3 linked regions of the Elephas maximus indicus genome follow. The protein of the gene in region 3 purifies or fractionates together with the protein of the main gene of each other region. This does not show direct contact. Links are inferred from orthologs where the notes say so. Each region holds a gene or a part of one and is shown on either strand. Other genes may lie near its edges.

The links. Proteins that work in one complex are often made in the same cells at the same time.
Region 1: the proteins of STRN (region 3) and TCP1 purify together in Homo sapiens (affinity purification with mass spectrometry; 3 studies listed by BioGRID and IntAct, with this or other methods). This does not show direct contact. The link is inferred for Elephas maximus indicus from reciprocal best matches to the Homo sapiens genes STRN and TCP1.
Region 2: the proteins of STRN (region 3) and PPP2R1B purify together in Homo sapiens (affinity purification with mass spectrometry; 5 studies listed by BioGRID and IntAct, with this or other methods). This does not show direct contact. The link is inferred for Elephas maximus indicus from reciprocal best matches to the Homo sapiens genes STRN and PPP2R1B.

The regions. Positions count from the first base shown.
Region 1 is NC_064819.1:232,164,034-232,170,908, forward strand, and holds the start of TCP1 (T-complex protein 1 subunit alpha), read right to left. Parts: upstream 3,001-6,875; 5' UTR 2,828-3,000; coding exon 2,764-2,827; intron 1,774-2,763; coding exon 1,688-1,773; intron 1,337-1,687; coding exon 1,208-1,336; intron 1,078-1,207; exon of another isoform or gene 939-1,077; intron 1-938. Other genes in the region: MRPL18 (39S ribosomal protein L18, mitochondrial), read left to right, coding at 4,022-4,070, 4,353-4,539. UniProt on the Homo sapiens protein: Component of the chaperonin-containing T-complex (TRiC), a molecular chaperone complex that assists the folding of actin, tubulin and other proteins upon ATP hydrolysis.
Region 2 is NC_064825.1:7,146,433-7,153,895, forward strand, and holds the start of PPP2R1B (serine/threonine-protein phosphatase 2A 65 kDa regulatory subunit A beta isoform), read left to right. Parts: upstream 1-4,463; 5' UTR 4,464-4,539; coding exon 4,540-4,653; intron 4,654-5,542; coding exon 5,543-5,633; intron 5,634-6,274; coding exon 6,275-6,375; intron 6,376-7,463. UniProt on the Homo sapiens protein: The PR65 subunit of protein phosphatase 2A serves as a scaffolding molecule to coordinate the assembly of the catalytic subunit and a variable regulatory B subunit.
Region 3 is NC_064844.1:27,388,989-27,396,384, forward strand, and holds the start of STRN (striatin), read left to right. Parts: upstream 1-4,375; 5' UTR 4,376-4,470; coding exon 4,471-4,704; intron 4,705-7,396. UniProt on the Homo sapiens protein: Calmodulin-binding scaffolding protein which is the center of the striatin-interacting phosphatase and kinase (STRIPAK) complexes.

The sequences.
Region 1 (6,875 bases), on a different chromosome or scaffold from region 3:
AAACTTAAAAAAAAAATCCTGTCAGTGAAAATAGGGACTGGAAAGGAGTTGCTGTCTCATTAGGAGGACAGCAACTACGAGTATATAGCATGGTGCATATAAATTTTTGTATGAAAGACTAGCTTGATTTGTAAACTTTCACTTAAAGAACAACAACAACAACAAAAAAAAAGCCTGATCTGGCCTGACAGACTGGAGAAACCCTGAGTACGGCCCCCGGAAATCCTTTCAGCTCAGTAATGTAGTTACTCCTCAGATTTAACCTCCAGGCAAAGACTGCACAGGCCCATAAAACAGAACAAGACTGAAGGGGCACTTAGGCCCAGGGGCAAGGACTAGAGGGCAGGAGGTAACAGGAAAGCTGGTAACGGGGAACCCGACGTTGAGAAGGAAGAGTGTTGCCATTTGTGGGGTTTTTAACCAATGTCATAATACACTATGTGTGCTGTTTAATGAGAAACTAGTTTGTTCTGTAAACCTTCATGTAAAAAAAAAAAAAAAAATCCTGTCTACTTGATTTTTGTAAACTATGTTGTTAGAGACATCACCATAAAACAAATTACTCAGATAAAACACTATTTTCATTATTTCAAGAGATTATTCTTTCAGGGTTAAAAGATTAATCCATAAATACTAACTCTCCCCTGTCCCCTCCCATAAACTACCTCTTATTTTGCTAGAATTAATATCCTCCTCATCAAACAACAGTGTTTCTACTACACCAGTGTGCTGGATGGTCTTCGAGAAGTTTATTTACATCACCTTATTAATCGCGTCTACTGATTTTTTCTATCACCGTCATACTGTGGTACATTAACTTCTCACATTTCCATTTTAAAATCCTGAGACTGTCAACCTCTAAAATATAAACTTGAAAAATACATAAGTAACATTTTTCTCACTAGGTAATCATAAAGACAAAGTTCATAAATGTCACTAATTTTCTGTACAGCCATTTCATATAGAAGAAGGACACAAAAAATCCTCCCTCTTCAGATCACGGCAATTTTAATCTATCCCACAAGCATAACCGCTAAGATCTACTATTAAGATCTAAAGTGGTAGTCAAATGGGAAAAAAAAAAGATACAGGAAGAAGGTTGGGGGGACAGATAAAACCCTTGTGTGATGTATGAATACTGTCAAAACTTTCAAAAACCAACATTAAAAATGCAGATGTTTTGCCACCCTACTAGACGAGTACCTACCACCGAAGTAGTTCCATCTCCAACTTCTTTGTCCTGAAGATCGGCCAGCTCACAAAGAACCTTAGCTGCAGGATGTTCTACCTCCAGTAACTTCAGAATAGTTGCACCATCGTTAGTGATGGTTACATCCTAATAACGGGGGGAGAAAACAGATAGCCCCTAAATTAATACAGGAAACCCTCAGGGTGGAGTGGTTAAGTGCTACAGCTGCTAACCAAAAGGTCGGCAGTTCGAATTCACCAGGTGCTCCTTGGAAACTCTACGGGGCAGTTAGTTCTACTCTGTCCTATAGGGTTGCTATGAGTCAGAATCAACTCGACCGAAACAAGTTTGGTTTCAAATTAACACAGCCCCATTATAATACATGCTCACCTTTTACATCTTCAAATACCAAGGTTTTGATAAAAAAAATTGATGCAGCAAAACTTTAAGAACTCTTATTTTTCTTCACAATAACATGAACACAATAGTCGTACTTACGCCAATGTCATCCACCAACATTTTATCCAAGCCAACTGGACCAAGAGAACTTTTTACGATATTGGCAATAGAAGCTGCAGCCATAACTGTGGTCAATCAATGGAAAAAGAAGCACAATTAGAAAAACCTACAACTCCAAAAGCAATCATTTCAGCCCGAGTAAACTAAACTTCCCCAAATTCACGAATCTTCTCTGTTAAAAACCTGATGGGTGGGGGAATCTCGGAAAATTCATTTTGGATATACTTATAAAAGGGATGCAAAATCTTTAAAAGAATAATCCTTTTGCTCCCTTCTAGAATTAAAAAAGCAATTTACTGGTCAGTTTTATGTTCTACCACTCCACACACTGTAACTATACATCACCCTTTCCTTCAGATCCTGACACCTTTTAGGGCAGGAAAAATTACATTAGCAGTCTCTTTACCAGGAACTAAAAAAGCTGTAATGGAATGAAAAAACAGTGATTTTACTTCAAATTCGCCCAAAAAATTAGGAACCTACAAAAACGTTTTCAAAACAAGCTCAGGAACAGCAACAACAGCTTTGACTAACATAAAGCATATCCACGTTTACTAGTCACCCAGGAATCGCCTTCCCTAATTATTTCGGGACGAAGAACACTAACATACAATTCCAACTTCGCCAGCTGATTTTATTACGGGACGCCATCAGCGATAAGCGAGGTAACGACCGGATCTGGAGGTCGGGGACCGGCATCCGCTGCAGACGAGAGCCGGGGCGCTACAACCGGCGTGCCACCTATGCCCTGCGGCCATTTGTTTATCTGTAAAGGCGAGCCCCAGGGCTGAGGAAGACGCTCCTTCCCGCTTTCCCGGCCCCGGCCTCCCCGCCCAGCCGGCGCAGCTCTCACGGCGTGCTGCTCTCTCCAGGATGCTTCCCCTTCGGCGAGAGGGCGCTGCTGCCCGCCCAAAAGCGGCGACGACAGCCGACGGGACCCCGCCAAAGAAGCCCCAACGCCTCTTTTCTGGGGGTAGGGGAGGCGGCGAGATGAGAGCAGGGCAGCCGCGGGCCCAGGGCTGAGGCTCGGCTCGACCAGGCCTCGCCGCCCTTACCGTTCTGGGAGCGGATCGCCTCCCCGGTGCTGCGGTCCCCGAACACGGACAACGGTCCCTCCATCCTCGCAGCAGGGCACACGTTCCTCTCACACCGCGGGAGACTAGTCTCTCGTTCCCTGGGCAGACAGCGGCGACGGCGTGCACCTACCCGACCAACGCCGCGGGGACTGCTGGGTAACAGCGCCCGCCGCGCTTCCCAGCTCCCCCGGCCCGGCCGCGGGGCAGGCCGGGAAAAAGAGAAGGGCTCGGGGGAAGAGGAGGGTTAATATGCCGGAAGTGGGGAACAAGAAGAGGGCGTACACAAAGGCGTGTCAGCATTTTTGTCCAATTAGAGTGCGGATGAGAAGGGCGCGAAGGTCGGGGAGCGGAAGTCAGATTCCTGGGCCTCTGGAGGGAGGAGGTGCTCGGGTGAGCGCTCACCCGCGGCACGGTTGCGCATGCGAGTTGGGACATTCTAGCGGCTTCTAGAAAAGATGGCCGGCAAGGCGGAGTTTGGAGTGGGGGTGTGGCAGCAGGGGGCCATCCTACGTCCTAGCCTCGTGCTCTCTTTTTTGTTCTGCTCCCTTGTCGATGGGGCTCAGGGAGCACGGGGCAGGTCGGCCAGGTTTCGTTCTAGAGCGCTTAAGTTATGGCCTTGGGGCCTGAACCTCGGTAGAACGCGACAGGCATCCTACAAGGCTTATACGTATTACGGGAGAAACTGTAGCTAGAGGAAGGCAACCACCCGTTTTAAACCAGGGAATTGTAATCTTGCCCGGCCTCATTTCCTCAGTGCCCAGGTGGGATGTGTGCGGAGCCGACAATAGTTGGTCTAAGCTTTGCGACTAAAGCTCCCAAATGTGGGAATGTGAAGTTAGGGGCTACCTCGAAGCTGGAAGCTCCTTGGCCCGACCGCAACCAGCTTCGCAAGCCGGGAACGGAGATGGAATGTTAATGCTGAAGACACATGAAGCGTTTCCCTCACATAGTGCCCCACCCACTAATGCGTTCCTGCGAAATGGTTGGTCCGTTACATGCCTGCGTGCGTCTAAACGTAAGCGGTGATTGGAGAAACTGACATGACAGATGGCCCTCTCGACCACTCAACTGCAGAGGTTTGTTAGTTCCGGGGGCGAGAGAGGCTCACGTTGAGAATTGATGACCTCCACCGGCCTCAACCTCTCAAGTGGATATGGCTGCGGCCGCGGACCGCTGAGACGCCTGCAAGGAGCAGGAGGCGAGGCTTTTCTGAGGCTTTGCTTGAGGTCCCTCAGCGATGGCGCTTCGGTCGCGGTTCTGGGCTTTGTCGGTTTGCAGAAACCCCGGTAACTAATTTTGCCCCATTTTTCTCAGATCACTCCCCAGAGTCTTCACAATAAACGTAGATATGCAAATCGCATTTTTTACTCTGTATCCACCTTCGAAAAGTAATCAAGCTAATACCATTATGATGAAAATAGTGAAAGATTAAGGATTCATTGATCAAACGTATTTCGTTCTTCTAACAGGGCGGGAAGATTGGGGGAGCGATTGGGGATAGAGGTCAGATCATATTCCTGATTTGTTAATATTAGGCTTAGGTAAGTATGGTTGTGTCCATTTTTTAGAGTTTGGGTTTGCAGCCCTCTCAACCAGTTCCAAAGCAGTGGTGAAGCCTGAAGTGGACCCTGTGGATAATGAAGCCGTTGCCCCGGAGTTCACCAACCGGAATCCCCGGAATCTCGAGCTCTTGGCTGTAGCCAGGAAAGAACGGGGTTGGGGGACCGTGTGGCCCTCTCGTGAGTTTTGGCACAGGTAATTAAGTCTGTGTTTGTGCGGTAGCCTCCAAATTGTTCTCATCCGTTTATTCAACAAACGTTTATCCATCCCTTACTATGTGCGGGTACTGCGTGGGACTCTCTCAGGGGCGGAGTGTCCAATAGGGAGGTAAGCACTGTGCTTACTGGGCGCATTTATTAATCTGCAGTGACCAATTTCGGAAATCCTGGTGGCTTAGTGGTTAAAGTGCTACGGTTGCTAACCAAAAGGTTGGCAGTTCAAATCCACTAGACGCTTCTTGGAAACTGTGGGGCAGTTCTACTCTGTCCTATAGGGCCTCTATGAGTCGGGAGCGACTCAACGGTGGTGGTTTTTTTTGTGTGTGTGTGTGCTTTAAGTGAAAGTTTGCAAATCAAGTCAGTCTCTCATATGAAAATTTATATACACTTTGCTATATACTGATAGTTGCTCTCCCCGTAATGAGACAGCACACTGCTTTTCTCCGCTCTCTCTTTCATGTCCATTCAGCCACCTTCTGACCCCCTCTGCCCTATTATCTCCACTTCAGACAGGAGATGCCAACATAGTCTCATGTGTCTACTTGATCCAAGAAGCACATTTCCTCACCAGTATCATTTTCTATCCCATAGTCCAGTCCAATCCCTGTCTGAAGAGTTGGTTTTGGGAATCTTTCCTGTCTTGGGCTAACAGAAGGTCTGGGGACCATGACCTCCAGGGTCCTTCTAGTCTCAGTCAGATGATTAAGTCTGGTCTTTTTATAAGAATTTGGGGTCTGCATCCCACTGCTCACCTGTTCTCTTGGTTTCTCTGTTCTGTTCCCTGTCAGGGCAATCATCGGCTGTAGCCAAGCACCATCTAGTTCTTCTGGTCTCAGGCTAATGTAGTGTCCAGTTTATGTGGCCCTTTCTGTCTCTTGGGCTCATAATTTCCTTGTCTTTGTTCTTCATTCTCCTTTGTTCCAGGTGGTTTGAGACTAATTGATGCATCTTAGATGGCCACTTGTTAGCACCTAAGACCCCGGAAGGGTGGTGGGTTTTTTGTGTTGTTTTAGTGACCAATTTCATACGGATTTCACCATGAAACCCATGTGAAATTGGTCACTACAGATTAGTAAGTATGCAGAAGTAAGCCTGTGCTTACCTTGCTTATTGTGTTCTCCATCCCCGGACTCTCTCAGGAAGTTGAAATGGGCTGAAACAATAAATAAACATGTGTCATGGAGAAAATGTAAAGAGGATGTCAGAGTGAGGGACTGGGTGCCTATTAAGACTTCTATGAGGAGATGACGCTTAAGAAAGTGAGATGTGAAAGATAGGAGGAAACCAAACTGTCTCTGTGAAATGCCAGGGAGAGCCTTCCTAACAGAGGAAACAGCTGGGCTGGAAGTGAACTTGGTGAGTCTGTGGAACAGAAAGGCCTGTGTACCTGGAGCTCAGTGGGCAAAGGGGTGAGTGGTGTGGTGAGAATGGTGGAGTAGGGAGAGGACAGATCATTGCCTTTGTAGATTAAGGTAAGCAGATTAAACTGTATTTTCACTGCAGTGGTGTCTTAGTCGTTTAGTGCTGTTATAACAGAAATACTACAATTGGGTAGCTTTAACAAAAAATTTATTTTCTCAGAGTTTAGGAGGCTAGAAGTCTGAATTCAGGGTGCTGACCCTAATGGTAGGCTTTCTTGTCATCTCTGGGGAGGGGTGGGTTCTCCTCTCTTCAGCTCCTGTTTCCTGATTCCTTGGAGATCTCCCTGTGGCTTGGCATCAGTCTTTCCTCCGTCTTTTTCTCTGCTCGATTGTTTAGTCTCTTTTTATATCTCAAAAGAGACTGACTCAAGATCCATTCTACACTAATCCTGCCTCATGAATATAGCAAAGACAGCCAGTTCCTGAATGGGATTATAATCACAGGCATAGAAGTTAGGATTTACAACACGTATTTTGGGGGGACACAATTCAATCCATAACAAATGGGAAGCTATGAAAAGTTTTAAGGTTTGAGTCTGAATTATGTGGTTTTTAAAGATCATTCTGGCTGTTTGGGGGAGAGTACATTTTTAAGGGGACAAGAGTAGAAGCAGGAAGACCAGTTAGGAGTTGCAGATTCCAGGCATGAGATGTTTTATTATAAAGATGGTACCTTTTTTTTTTTTTTTTAATTTTTATTGTGCTTTAAGTGAAAGTTTACAAATCAAGTCAGTCTCTCATACAAAAATATATATACACCTTGCTATGTACTCCTAATTGCTCTCCCCTTAATTACACAGCACACTCCTTCCCTCCACTCTCTCTTTTTGTGTGCACTGTGCCAGCTTCTGACCCCCTCTGCCCCCTCATCTCTCCTCCAGATAGGAGATGA
Region 2 (7,463 bases), on a different chromosome or scaffold from region 3:
CTAAATTGAAAAACTTGTTAGCTGACTGTTTCTCAAATTTGAGTAGCATATGGATCAATTTTTAAAGGAAAAATAATCCTGAAAGCTCTCCAATTACCGTTGAGTTGATTCTGACCCCAGGGAGACCCCTTATGTGTCAAAGTACACTTCTGCTCCACAGGGTTTTCATCAGCTGATTTTTTTGGAAGTAGATTGCTGGACCTTTCTTCTGAGGGTCTTCAGGGTAGACTTGAACCTCCAACCTTTCTTCTGAGGCTCTTCAGGGTAGACTTGAATCTCCAACCTTTCTTCTGAGGCTCTTCAGGGTAGACTTGAACCTCCAACCTTTCTTCTGAGGCTCTTCAGGGTAGACTTGAACCTCTAACCTTTCTTCTGAGGCTCTTCAGGGTAGACTTGAACCTCCAACCTTTCTTCTGAGGCTCTTCAGGGTAGACTTGAACCTCCAACCTTTCTTCTGAGGCTCTTCAGGGTAGACTTGAACCTCCAACCTTTCTTCTGAGGCTCTTCAGGGTGGACTTGAACCTCCAACCTTTCTTCTGAGGCTCTTCAGGGTGGACTTGAACCTCCAACCTTTCTTCTGAGGCTCTTCAGGGTGGACTTGAACCTCCAACCTTTCTTCTGAGGCTCTTCAGGGTGGACTTGAACCTCCAACCTTTCTTCTGAGGCTCTTCAGGGTGGACTTGAACCTCCAACCTTTCTTCTGAGGCTCTTCAGGGTGGACTTGAACCTCCAACCTTTCTTCTGAGGCTCTTCAGGGTGGACTTGAACCTCCAACCTTTCTTCTGAGGCTCTTCAGGGTGGACTTGAACCTCCAACCTTTCTTCTGAGGCTCTTCAGGGTGGACTTGAACCTCCAACCTTTCTTCTGAGGCTCTTCAGGGTAGACTTGAACCTCCCAACCTTTCTTCTGAGGCTCTTCAGGGTAGACTTGAACCTCTAACCTTTCTTTGAGGCTCTTCAGGGTAGATTTGAACCTCCAACCTTTCTGTTAGCAGCTAAGTGCATTCACCATTCGCACTACCCAGGGACTCCTGAAACAGTCAGATTATTTTTATTACGATGTTACTTAAATTTACAAATACAAACTGGGCTATATAAAGTCCTTTTATGTATAGTTCTTATACAACTAAAAAAAGCAAAGCAGATTAAATACACATGAAACTACAAAAAGAATACCGTCCATATTAGTAACATTATAGTAATTTGACAGATGATGCTGTTTTGCTGGAATTAAACCATCCTTTGTGTAGTGACTATGGTATTGCCTGTCAAAACTCAGTATCTTTCGAGTTCAACATGCCTGTACCACCAAGTGACTTCTGATATCTCAATTTTCTCATGACTTTTCTTCCTTAAAACTACTGAGACAGTGCAGTCCCATGATGTCATTTGGCTTTCATTTTGTGTAGGAAAGCATCATTTTCATTTTAAATCCAGCACTGTGTTTTCTCAATATCCTGGAACAATAATAAGCAGCGATGAAACACACATGCAAATGCAGGGACTGAAGCTGTGTGGTAATACTAAGTTATAAAAGTGGACATCCAAATAATCCAGAATATGTTTATGCAAATCTAAAAAACTTATCAAAGTGAAAACAAAATTAAACCCTAGAATACATCCCCAGACCTAATTTGAGAAATACGGTTCAGGTTCATTGGTTCCCAAACTTTCACTATTGCCAAACACCCTATCTACTGTTTACCTTCAGGAATTCTGTTTTAAAAAAGAAGTCACCTAAATTGCATTTATTAATACTTTACATTTTTATTATTCAGACACATAAAATTACTATTATAGAGCTTTTGATCAGCATATGTAGTTATCTCTTAAATTCCAGTCCAAAATCACAACAGCAAAAAAAGACAGGACCTTCTAGCTATTTTGTACTGCCCTTACAAGGGGAAGGAAACCCTGGTGGTATAATGGGTAAGTGCTACAGCTGCTAACCAAAAGGTCGGCAGTTTGAATTCACCAGGCGCTCCCTGGAAACTCTGTGGGGCAGTTCTACACGCTCTGAGTTGGAATTGACTCGACAGCAGTGGGTTTGGGTTTACGACAGCAAATGAAAACTTTACATTAGGTTTTGTAACACACAGACCATCCGCCCCCCTCACGCCTCCATCCCGTTGCTGCCATTGAGGACTCCTGGAGGCGTACCGAGGCAAACCAAAAAAACCCAAACCCGTTGCTGTCGAATGGATTCCAACTCATGGCGACCCCAAAGAACAGAGTAGAACTGCCCCATAGGGCTTCCAAGGAGTGCCTGGTGGATTCAAACTGCGGACCTTTTGGTTAGCAGCTGTAGCTCTTAACCACTCCACCGCCAGGGTTTCCTTACGGAGGCCAGTGTAGGCTCTTTTTGTACAAGGAAATTAGCCACTCCACCCAATTTGGAATGATTAAGGCTTGTCCTGGTTGCGCTTGCTTGTTTTACTTACACCGTGCTAAAAAAGATAGGATAAATATAACAGAAGGCATCATTCCAGTACCAAGACTGAAAAGAAACACAAAAACAAGAGAGCAGCATGTTTTTAACAGCTTGCGTGGATAAAGTGGAAAAAATATTGACTGGTGAGTTTAGACAGCACTGTTCATTTTCTCTCTCCGCCTGCGTTATTTGTCTTTTGGAGCAGAAGCCAGATACACTAATTCTGGCGGGGAGGCGCCAAGTCCTTCTTCCCCTAGGCCCGGGGCCCTCTCTTGGGCCGGCCCTATGCCTCGGAGGGCACGGTCGGCCTCGGAGGGCACGGTAGGCCTCGGAGGGCACAGTCGGCCTCGGAGCGCACGGTCGGCCTCGGAGGGCACGGTCGGCCTCGGAGGGCACGGTCGGCCTCGGAGGGCACGGTCGGCCTCGGAGCGCACGGTCGGCCTCGGAGGGCACGGTCGGCCTCGGAGCGCACGGTCGGCCTCGGAGCGCACGGTCGGCCTCGGAGGGCACGGTCGGCCTCGGAGCGCACGGTAGCCCTCGGAGGGCACGGTCGGCCTCGGAGGGCACGGTAGCCCTCGGAGGGCACGGTCGGCCTCGGAGGGCACGGTAGCCCTCGGAGGGCACGGTCGGCCTCGGAGGGCACGGTAGCCCTCGGAGGGCACGGTCGGCCTCGGAGCGCACGGTAGCCCTCGGAGGGCACGGTCGGCCTCGGAGCGCACGGTAGCCCTCGGAGGGCACGGTCGGCCTCGGAGCGCACGGTAGGCCTCGGAGCGCACGGTAGCCCTCGGAGGGCACGGTCGGCCTCGGAGGGCACGGTCGGCCTCGGAGCGCACGGTAGCCCTCGGAGGGCACGGTCGGCCTCGGAGCGCACGGTCGGCCTCGGAGGGCACGGTCGGCCTCGGAGCGCACGGTCGGCCTCGGAGCGCACGGTCGGCCTCGGAGCGCACGGTCGGCCTCGGAGGGCACGGTCGGCCTCGGAGCGCACGGTAGCCCTCGGAGGGCACGGTCGGCCGCGGAGGGCACGGTCGGCCTCGGAGCGCACGGTAGCCCTCGGAGGGCACGGTCGGCCTCGGAGCGCACGGTCGGCCTCGGAGGGCACGGTCGGCCTCGGAGCGCACGGTAGCCCTCGGAGGGCACGGTCGGCCTCGGAGGGCACGGTAGCCCTCGGAGGGCACGGTCGGCCTCGGAGGGCACGGTCGGCCTCGGAGGGCACGGTCGGCCTCGGAGCGCACGGTCGGCCTCGGAGGGCACGGTCGGCCTCGGAGCGCACGGTAGCCCTCGGAGGGCACGGTCGGCCTCGGAGCGCACGGTCGGCCTCGGAGGGCACGGTCGGCCTCGGAGCGCACGGTAGCCCTCGGAGGGCACGGTCGGCCTCGGAGGGCACGGTAGCCCTCGGAGGGCACGGTCGGCCTCGGAGGGCACGGTCGGCCTCGGAGGGCACGGTCGGCCTCGGAGCGCACGGTCGGCCTCGGAGGGCACGGTTGGCCTCGGAGGGCACGGTCGGCCTCGGAGCGCACGGTGCGGATCGCTCAGAGGGGTAGGTCCCTGGTCACTTCAGATCACAAGTAGGGTGAATCCCTGCCCCTGCTTCTTTCGGCTGTAATGGCACTCTCAGCCCAACCTTGCCACAACTGGGGTCGGCCGGAGACCTCCACCATCTGAAGAGCGACTGGCTTCCCCGCCTCCACTGTGCACGCGCGCGGGCCTTAGCCCCGCCTCCCTGGACTTGGGGCGTGGCTTGTTATGGGAGGGCGTGGCTTGTCGCGGGAGGGCTGGGCTTGGTGCGGGAGGGCGTGGCTTGGTGCGGGGCGGCGTGCTTGGCGCGGGGCGAGGAAGGGCCTGGACACGGAGCTGGCGGCGGCGACCCGCGGAAGAAGGGAAAACATGGCGGGCGCGGTGGGGTCCGTCAGCGGCTTGGGGGCAGCGGGCGGAGACCTCCACCACCTGAAGAGCGACTCGCTTCCCCGCCTCCACTGAGCCCGCGCGAGCCTTAGCCCCGCCTCCCTGGCCGCGGGGCGTGGCTTGGTGCGGGTGGGCGTGGTTTGGCGCGGGGCGAGGAGGGGCCTGGACACTGAGCTGGCGGCGGCGACCCGCGGAAGAAGGGAAAACATGGCGGGCGCGGCGGGGCCCGGTAGCGGCTCGGGGGCAGCGGGCGGAGACGGAGACGATTCGCTCTACCCGATCGCGGTTTTAATCGACGAGCTCCGCAATGAGGACGTGCAGGTACTGGCTCGGGCTGCGAAGCTGAGGTGGGCCCGGCCGGGCGCGTGGTAGGGAAGCCGGAGGCCGGCGCCGCTGTGGGGGAGGCCCGGACGTTGAGAAAGCCGGGTTTGGAGCAGAAGCTTGAGGGGGAGCAGAGAAGAGACCGGCGAGAGGTTGCGGCGTCCCCGCCCGACCCTCCCGGGGGCGTCTCCGATACCCTTCCTCAAGGACGTCGGCCCGGCCCCCGCCGCATCCGGGGCTGCTGTCGGAGAATCGGCTCCCAGCCTGGGCGCCCCTTCCGGGCGGTGCGGCGGGCGGGCGGTGCGGCGGGCGGGCGGTGCGGCGGGCGGGCGGTGCGGCGGGGGCCGGGGGCCGCCGTCCTCGGTGACCCGCCGTCCTCGGTGACCCGCCGTCCTCGGTGACCCGCCGTCCTCGGTGACCCGCCAGCGGCAGAGGCCGGAGCGGGGGCGGGCGCAGGACGCCGGCGGCCCTCCGACGTGCTGGTGAGATACCTGCGGATAGAAGGAGGGCTGGTGGCCGATAACCTAGGTGAGTCCGGGCATCACCCCTGATGGGCCTGTCTTTGAAAAAAGTCCGAGGTTGTATTCAGCCGTTTCACCTGCTTCGCTGCTGCCAGAGTTCTCATTTGTAAAAGTTATATCACTTCCTGGATACTGTGTTCTCTTTTATTCCTTTCTTTTCTGGGCTCTTCAGGCGGTTTCTCCTAGGAAATCTTCCTCTGCCGAATGATGCTGTGAACGGCACCTGAGGTTCCTCACAGGATAAAATCTAAGTTAAGGTTTCCTTTTTTCTTACCTGTATCTTCTTGTACTCACCTGTTTGCCGCCTGTTTGTCTTTTGGTCTAAATTGCAACCGTTTATTTTGTTCTGTCCACTTTCTTTGTTATAGCTCCGTCTTAACAGTATTAAGAAGTTATCAACAATTGCTTTAGCACTTGGAGTAGAAAGAACTAGAACTGAACTGCTGCCATTCCTTACTGGTATGTGAATCTTTGAATTTTTTTTTTTAAGTCTTTGTTTAAAACTATTTTCCAGTGGTTTTCAAAACTTTGACTTTTTCTTAGGGTTCGTTAACGGCAGTATTATTAAATACAAAACTGAGCCTAGTGCTTTCTATGCAAAAGAAGCAGAACAAAGTATAATATTGTGTCCAGACGTATTCAAACATTAACTATTTAACTAATAGGAAAATACTCGCTACGGGAGTATGAATTTCTAATTCATTTGTAAAACAGATCTAGGACTAGGAGACCCTGAGGAAAGGAGACCCTGTTAGGATTGTGACTTGGCCATCTTAAAAAAAAAAAATCCCCCAAATCCCATGTGATCAAGTCGATTTCGACTCATAGCAACCCTATAGGACAGAGTAGAGCTGCCGCATATGGTTTCCAAGGCTGTAAATCTTTATTGAATCAGCCTGCCACATCTTTCTCCTGCAGAGTGGCTGGGTGGGTTTGAACTATCAACCTTTCGATTTGCAGCTGAGTGTTTAACCACTGTGTTTAACCACTGCAGCACCAGAGCTCCTTGATAGCTACATATTGAATCTTTTCCTAGTTTTTTGTGAGTGTCCAGCTGGGCCAGCTCTCCTTATTGATGAGTACCCTATTGCCTTATGTAGATACAATCTATGATGAAGATGAGGTACTGCTAGCTCTTGCTGAGCAGCTGGGAAATTTTACTGGCCTTGTGGGAGGTCCTGACTTTGCCCACTGTCTGCTGGTAAGTACTTATATGCTGCTTTCCCTCCTTGTAGGACTTCTGAAGTATAATTGTTTGGCGATAGCCCCATTCCAGCACTGTGTGTAGTCTCTTAGGAAATTTAGATTATGATCTTTTTATGGGCAGATAGTCATAATGTTAGCTAGCCATCGAGAGAACAAATAATGTAGGCGTTCTGAACTCAGTTAACCCTTTTTTTCCTCACTGTTAATACAACTCCTACCACTTTCCTGCCTCTATAACCTTACTAGTTTAGAGGTGGGAAGAAAAAGGATTTGATTTTTTTTTAAAACGTAATCACAGTATATGCTCATTTTTTCTTTTGTTGTGGTAAAGTGCACATAAACTTCACGATTTTAACCATTTTAAGATGTACAATTTAGTGGTATTTAGTGCATTCAGAATGTTGTGACACTATTACCACTGTCTAGTTCTAGAACATTTTCATTATCCCAAATGGAAACCTCATACCCATTAAGAGACACCCTTCTTTCTGTTCTCCCTCCAGTCCGTGGCAACCACTAACCTGCTTTCTATGAATTTGTCTATTCTAGATATTTCATAGAAATGGAATCATACAATATGTGGTGTTTTGTGACTGGCTTCTTTCACTTAACATAATTTTTTCAAGGTTCAGCATGTTGTAGTGTGTATCAGTACTTCATTCCTTATTATGGCTAAATAATGTTGTTTTATGGATATATATGCCATCTTTTGTTTCTCCATCAGTTACTGAACTTTTGGGTTGTTTCCACCTTGTGACTGTTGACAATGCTGCTATGAACATTCGTGTACAAGTTTTTACTTCAACACTTTTTTTCAATTCTTTGGGGTATATACATAGGAGTGGAATTGCTGGATGATTCTGTATGTAACTTTTTGAGGAACTACCAAACCGTTTTCCATGGCAGCTGCAAACATTTTACATTCCCGCCAGTAGTGTATAAGGTTTCAACTTTCTTCATATTTTTTCCAATGCTCCTTGTTTTCTTTTTAAATTATAGCCATCCTACTGGATATGACATGGTATCTGTTGTAATTTTGATTTGCATTTCTTGATTGTTTTTGTTTATTTTTTTCCCCTGAAA
Region 3 (7,396 bases):
ACTCCAACCACCACACCTTGTCAGGGTTCCATATTCCTTATTTGCGTGGCCCCGCCCAATCATTGTGTGGAAGCCACAATGACTATGGCTAGAAGGGCTTTATTAAGTAATTTCCTGTACCTGAATCCCCATCCCCACCAAAGCACACACACATAAACCAAAAAATAGCAAACACTCCATTATCTAAATAATCTATCAGCATTTCACCATTTTTTAATTTTAAACTGGTTTACTGATAGATAAATCAACATTTTGACGAGAGTTCTCTGTTCTTAAAAAGGGAACCCCATTTTTGCATTTTTGTGTCACTTAGGCATTATTAATTATAAAATGAAAAGATCAAGAAATCAGCAACACTGAGGTCTGAGGCTTAATGTTTAAGATTATTTTAACTCTACTGAATTAAAGTTCTGAGTAGGGAATGAAAAAGGTAAAAAGAACAACCACTGAGCCCGTAGTATTTGCCAGGAGTCTGTTGTTTTCATTTGATCTTGTGAACTCTATTACAATTAAAAAAAAAAAAAAATTACAATAGCAGCTATCATTTTTTAGTGTATTATGTCAGGCACTGTGTTAGGGGATTTACATGTCTTCTCTCATTTAATCTTCACAGTAACTCCATAAAGTAAATGTTGCTCCCATATTAAAAATCATGAGAAGTCCTGGTGGCGCAGTGGTTAAAGTGATCAACTGTTAACCAAAAGGTTGGTGGTTCAAAACCAACAGTGGCTCTGTGGGAGAAAGATGTGACAGTGTGTTTCTGTAGAGATTTACAGCCTTAGAAACCCTACAGGTTTGATATGTTGGAATCGACTTGACAGTAGTGGGCTATATTAAAAATCAGAATACTGAGGCTGGAAAAAAGTTGAACCATTTGCCCTTGTTTCCAGATTGGGAAAATTGTAACATCAGGAAGAAAATTCAGGTTTGACTGAATGCAAGTGCCGTGTCCTTTCCAATCATTCATTTTTTAACTTTTTTTTTTTTTTTTAATTATAAAGTTATTCTTGCTGTTGTGAATGAGAGGGCACATGGAGAGGGGCTCCTGGGTGCTTGCAATGCTCCATGTCCTGATCTGGGTAGTGGTTACAGTTTGTGACAGTTCACTGAAGTGTTCACTTAACATTTGTCAAGCTTTCTGTTACACTTCCTATCTTATCTAGTGCTGCTATAACAGAAATATCTCAAATGGGTGGCTTTAACAAACAAATCTATGTTTTCACAGTTTGAGAGGCGAGAAGTCTCAGTTCAGGGTGCTGGCTTTAGGAGAAGGCTTTCTCTGTCAAGAAAGATCCTTGTCTCTTCTGAGCTTCTACTCCTTGGTGATCTTCACGTGGCTTGGTATCTATCTTCCACCATCTCTGCTTGGTCACTTGCTTTTTTAATCTGTATCTCCAAAGAGATTGATTTAAGACACGCCCTACAGTAATACTGTATCATTAACATAAGAAAACCCATTCCCAAACGGGATTATAACCACAGGTATACCAAGCCAAACCTGCTGCTGACGAGTCCATTCATAGCGACCCTATAGGACAGAGTAGAACTGTAGCACTTAACCACTGTGCCACCAAGGTTATAGGGATTACAATTTACGACACATATTTTTGGGGAATGCAATTCAATCCATAACACCTCCACAAAACGTTTATTTAAAAAAGGTAATTCATACTGAATACAGAAAATTCGAAAAGCACAGATAAACACAAACAAGAAAGAAAAAAAGAAAATTATTATTCCAAACTAATGGTTTCAGAAGTTGATTAGGTATACCTGTTGCCTTTGAGTAGATTCTCACTCACAGTGACCCTATAGGACAGAGTAGAACTGCCCCATCGGGTTTGCAAGGCTGTAAAACTACAGAAGTAGCCTGCCACATCTTTCTCCAGCAAGTGACTGGTGGGTTGGAACTGCCAGCCTTTTTGGTTGCAGCTGAGCTTTTAAGCATTGCACCACTACGGCCTCCCTGCTTCAGTATAACACCAAATCCACTGCTGTCAAGTCAATTTCAACTCGCAGTCCCTATACGACAGGGGAGAACTGCCCCACAGAGTTTCCAAGGAGCAGCTGGTGGATTTGAACTGCCAACCTTTTGGTTAGCAGCTATAGCACTTAACTACTACACCACCAGACTATCCTTCCTCCGTATAGGAGGAAATCATTCTCCTAAAACAATTCAAGGCAAAAGAACTGCAAGGGAAGACCTTTTTTTAAAAAAGTATTTTTTTTTTTTTGGTTAAAAAGAAATCGTATTATAGAAGTTTTTGGAAAATGAGAAAAGTAAAGTAAATTTTCTTTGTAATTCTACCTTAATATAATCACTTCTAATATTTTGGTACATTGAGTGAATGTCTCTTGCAAAAAGAAATGCTCATAATATTACAGAATTGATTTTGTGTGTACATAAGTCCTTAAAAAGCAAAAAGCTATAATAGTATTGTAAGCAATGTCACTACACTATGAGTTTAAACAGTGTTTTTATATATCTGTGATAGTCCAGGTTATGTTTAAATTTAATTATGTGTTATAGTCTGTTATTTATTGATTTAAAGGATTGTTGGACATGTTAGAGAAAAAGATAATTTTTAACATACAAAGTTCATAAAAACCACAAGATCGCTTAAATCACCCAGATGACAAAGCATGCTGTTATTCATAATTGTCCCCTTTGTGTTCTGGTAGGTCTAATAAGGAACACAAGAGGAGGCAATGAGCTAATGAAAAGATCACTAGAATAGCAGTCAGGAAATCTGGGTTTTACTTTTGGCTGTGCCACTTATTAAAGGCCTCATTGTGGAAAAGTCTCCTAGCCTCTCTGGGCTTTGGTTTCTTGGGCTGTAAAATGAGAGGATTAGCCTCTATCTCAAAGGACACTAAAAGTCAAAATAATTTATGACAGGGAATTTGGCCAGGGTTGGATGCATCTTTTATCATAATAAAGCAAAAACATGCAATAACTGTGGGAAGAGAGCTTGCCATGCCTTATTCGCAACCAGAATAAATACAATGTGTTTCCTGTCCTTCCCCCAAGGATTCATGGGAAGGGGTGGAGGACAGGATAGGGACAGGATGTCCTTCCCTTACATGTCACTCACCAGCCTATATCTTTACATTTTTTCATGGTCATCAGATCTCATATCGCAGACTTTCATCCCACAAAAGAATTAGAGATAACTTGTTAGAGTGACAGTACCGGGGCTCAATTACATTTTCATTTGTTAACAATTTTCGTTGTAGTGTGAATTTGTAGTCACATGACAGAGACTTTGGCGAAGAAAAACATTAAAAAGAAACTTTTAAAAGGAGAGGAACTCGGTGTACCTTTGGTAGGCTAATACTGTTGCCAGTTCGCAGGTGAATGGTGGAAGAAATTGGGAATGGGACAAAGGAAAAAAGAGAAGTGCCTGGATACCTAAAACAGCTTTAGGGAGCAGAAAGGGAATTTTGTTCTTTCAGGTAGTGTAGCTTTGACGTACTGTGAGAGTTGGTTATACATATGTCAATCTTTCTTTGATAATAGGAACTATGTCTTATTTATCTCTACATCCTCGGTGTGGGATATAACTAGTAATCTAGAATTTGTTGAATTGAGTAAAAAACCTGCGGGATAAGGTTAAGAAAAGCAGAACAAGATACCAGAAGCCTTGGATATCTGTAACTTTTACAGGACTTCAGTAGTTTTTCAGATGAGGTGTCAACAAACCAGGATTTGGAAAAGAGAAGCAGAAATTTGCTGCGCTGAGTACAGGAGGGAGGTGGCGAGAGCTTCTTAAAAGTGAAAAAGGATCAGGAAACAGGTCTGAACTTCCGAGTGAAAAAGAGGCAAAGCGACGGAGGTATGCAGATTGCCAGAGCTGAGGAGAGTCTAGGGTCAGAGAACCACCCAAGTCGGAGCCGAAGGGAACGGACTGGTCAGCTGGGTGGAGAACACCCGTCCAGGCGCGATCACGGTAGTTCGCTTTTGAGCTTGTTTCTTAACAGAACTACCAGGAAGCCCTAAAAGATGTGCAACTCTGGTATTTTTGGCGTGATAACTTCCGCGTGTGTATGTGTGTATGAAACAGGCAACGCCGCCCTAGAACTTCCGCATGCGACTGAGGCTGGAGCGCTGCCTACCGGCGCCCAACGCCGGCCCGAGAGGAAAGCGCCACTCCCCGTCCCGGCGGCCCCCATCTCCGCTGGCGGGACTCAGCCACACCCCGGCCCAGCCGCAGCCGGAAAGGCGGCCTCGCCGCGCTCGCCCTGCGCCGCGCTCCGCGACTACGTTTCCCAGCAAGCCCCGCGCCGCCCGCGCGCCGCAGTTGACCCATTTCCCGGCCCGTCACGGGCTCGGCGGCCCCGCGCCTAGGCGGCTGCTCTCTGCTGACGGGTGTGGGCGGGGAGCGGCGGAGGGAGGAGGAGGCGCTGCTGGCCGCCGCTGTTGCCTCCGGTGCTGGGCGCTTGGGCAGCTCCCCGGCTTCTGCGGCCGCCATGGACGAGCAGGCGGGTCCTGGCGTCTTCTTCAGCAACAACCACCCGGGCGCCGGTGGTGCCAAGGGGCTCGGGCCTCTGGCGGAGGCTGCCGTGGCCGGCGACGGGGCGGCCGCGGCGGGGGCAGCCCGAGCCCAGTACAGCCTCCCAGGAATCCTGCACTTCCTGCAGCACGAGTGGGCCCGCTTCGAGGTGGAGAGAGCCCAGTGGGAGGTGGAGCGGGCGGAGCTGCAGGTAAAGACCCTCCCGGCCTGGCCCACTTCATCCCGCCTCTTCGCTCCTTACCGCCCCGCCCCGGCCCCCTCCTTCCCCCGGCCCTCGCCTGTCCTCTCCGCCTTGCTCCCGCCCATCCCACCCGAACCTCGTCCCGGTCCTCCCCTCACCTTTGCCTTTCGCTGACCCCCGTTCCTTGACCTCAGTACCCACTCCCGCCCCTGGTGCGTTGTTTACCCTCCCCGCTGCTTTTCGCCTGCTGCTCCTCACTCATAACTCTCAGTCTCATTCGAACTCTCTTACTATCCTGCATCTTAGGTCATCCCTTTCAGTTTACTAATTGAGCTGACAGTAGTTTTGAGAGACCTCGAGCAAATCATCTATCCTGGTGTGTCCCATCCTGGGCTTAGGGATCTTCCCAGCAAAGGGTATTGGCACTTGGCTCCGCTCTCTGAAAAGAAGGGGATCAAAAAAGACAACAAGTTGTGTCATTAAGGCCTTGACTTCAGGCAAAAGTGTTATTAGAAATACTAACTTTTTTTAGATATGTAAATGTTTCTAGTCCACCCCCTCCTCCCTCCCCCGCATTTCTTTGAGATAGTTCACATTCATGGATTTTGAAGGAAGGATTTAGATGATCACAGTCAGATAGATGGTGGCTCAGAGATGGTTCCTGTTCTCAGAATCTAAAACTTTCCAAGGGCTAATTTTATTTGCATTGTTTTGTGAGATATCCCATAACTTTAAAAAGAACTACAGGGGCTTAAAAGTTGGTTACATTGCTTTTTGATGCATAGTCTGCAAGATAAGTATATCCAGGGAGGAGCGGTGGTGGCTTTTATAGTTGAATGAAAGTGAGGCGGATACTTTACAGGCCATTTTGAGTTGGTGAGTAGGCTTTCAGTGGCTGATCTTGAAAATTCCAAGACATACACAAATTTCACAAGGAGTTTAAAGAATTGTGAATGGCTGTACCTTTCAATTTTATAGGCTAATCCTGTCTGTTTACAAAACATGAATCTAGTTTTGGTTGGGGAAACACTTGAAGTTCACATGCCACCTAGTGTGTCACTTTGTTTGGTAACGTGCATTTTCTTTGGCACTTAAAGAAAAGGAGAAATCTATTAAATAGAACCATGTGCTGGAATGGTCTCCTTTGGTGTAGTGGAAGTGGCTTTGAGAAGAGGAGACAGGTTCTAGTACGAGCTGTGCTTACTACTGTGACCTTGAGGAAATCCTTTAACCACTTTTGGCTTCCTTTTCATAATTTATTCAGAGTATGTTTATTGAGCGCTGGCTATGTGATTCTAGGCCCAGGGATTAACAAGACCTACAAAGCCTCTACCTTCATGGAGTTTGCCTTTAATCAGGAGGCAGATGGGGGGGGTGGGGGGAGAGGGGCAAGAAGATGGCCTGTAGTGGCAACTACTATGAGGAAAAATAATTGGGATACAGAAATAGAGTGTGATGGGGTAGCTGTTTTAGATGGGGTGGTCTGGGAAGACTTCTCAGAGGAGATGACATATAAGCAGTTAAGTGAAGCAAGAGTGACTCCATTTCTACAATTCTGCTTTTACAGTTTCTACGGTTATATGTTTATATATTCTTTGTCAGCTTTTTCATCCCTACAGTATTTGGTCTTTTCGTGTTTGTTATTTTTATAATAATGAGTCTGACGGTATAAGTAATCAGCAGATTTGATTGCTTATACCATCACTTTTATTAGCAGTACAATCTGTAAATAAACCTGTGGATTTCAGACTTCAGGGGTGATTTAACTTTGATGTTGAAGAAAATAATTGTATGTAGCTGCTTAAATTTTAATTTATTTTTCAGTTTAGGGAATGTGAGATAAGTCAGACTAGTTCGGTCAGAAGCAATCAAGAAAACAATACTTTCCTTCCTACATGTAGAAGTTAGGGAACTTCCAACCCACCCCATCCTTTCCCCTCTCTCCTCCCCATTCCCCATGTCTACACTTTTTATCTGTGCTGTAGTCAATCTTTAAAAAAAAAAAAGGAGCCTTGGTTATACAGTGGTTAAGAGCTCTGCTGCTAATCAAAAGGTTGACAATTCAAATCTACCAGCTGCTCTTTGGAAACCCGATGGTTCTATGTTCTAGAGGATTGGTTGGAATTTACTCCACGGCAATGGGTTTTTTTTTTTTTTTGGTTTTGGTGGTCAATCTTAAAATTTAGACACAGACACAGAGACATATGTTTCTGGGTTATTTATGTCAAATGTTGAACTTTAGGTAAGTTTCCCCATAATCCCCATCATATTAAGGGTACAACTTTTACAGTATCTTCTGGTTCGTGGTCAGAGAACAGAAGTCTACTTAAATATCAAATTAAATTAAGCTTCTGCAGAGAAAATTTTAAACAGTGTCATTTTTTCAAACAGTATGTATTTGTAGGGAGGGGGGAGGGTTGGCAGGAATCTGTGGCCTGAGTCTCCCTTATTAGTATAATTGAAAGTGTTTCTTTCTTCAATTACCAACGTCACTAAATTTGAACATTTCCCTTTTGCCATTGGAATTTTCCTGGAAAAACAATAGGCTGTAAAAGAGTTGAATGAATTGCGATGAAATATGAAGCAGCTGATGTCTTTGTTTTAATTTTTAAATCTCTTCTCAAGCCATTAACATCAAAGTCAACAAAAATCACTTTAAGTCTAATTTGTCCCTTCAGGAACCTGTCAGTCCTGCTCTTTC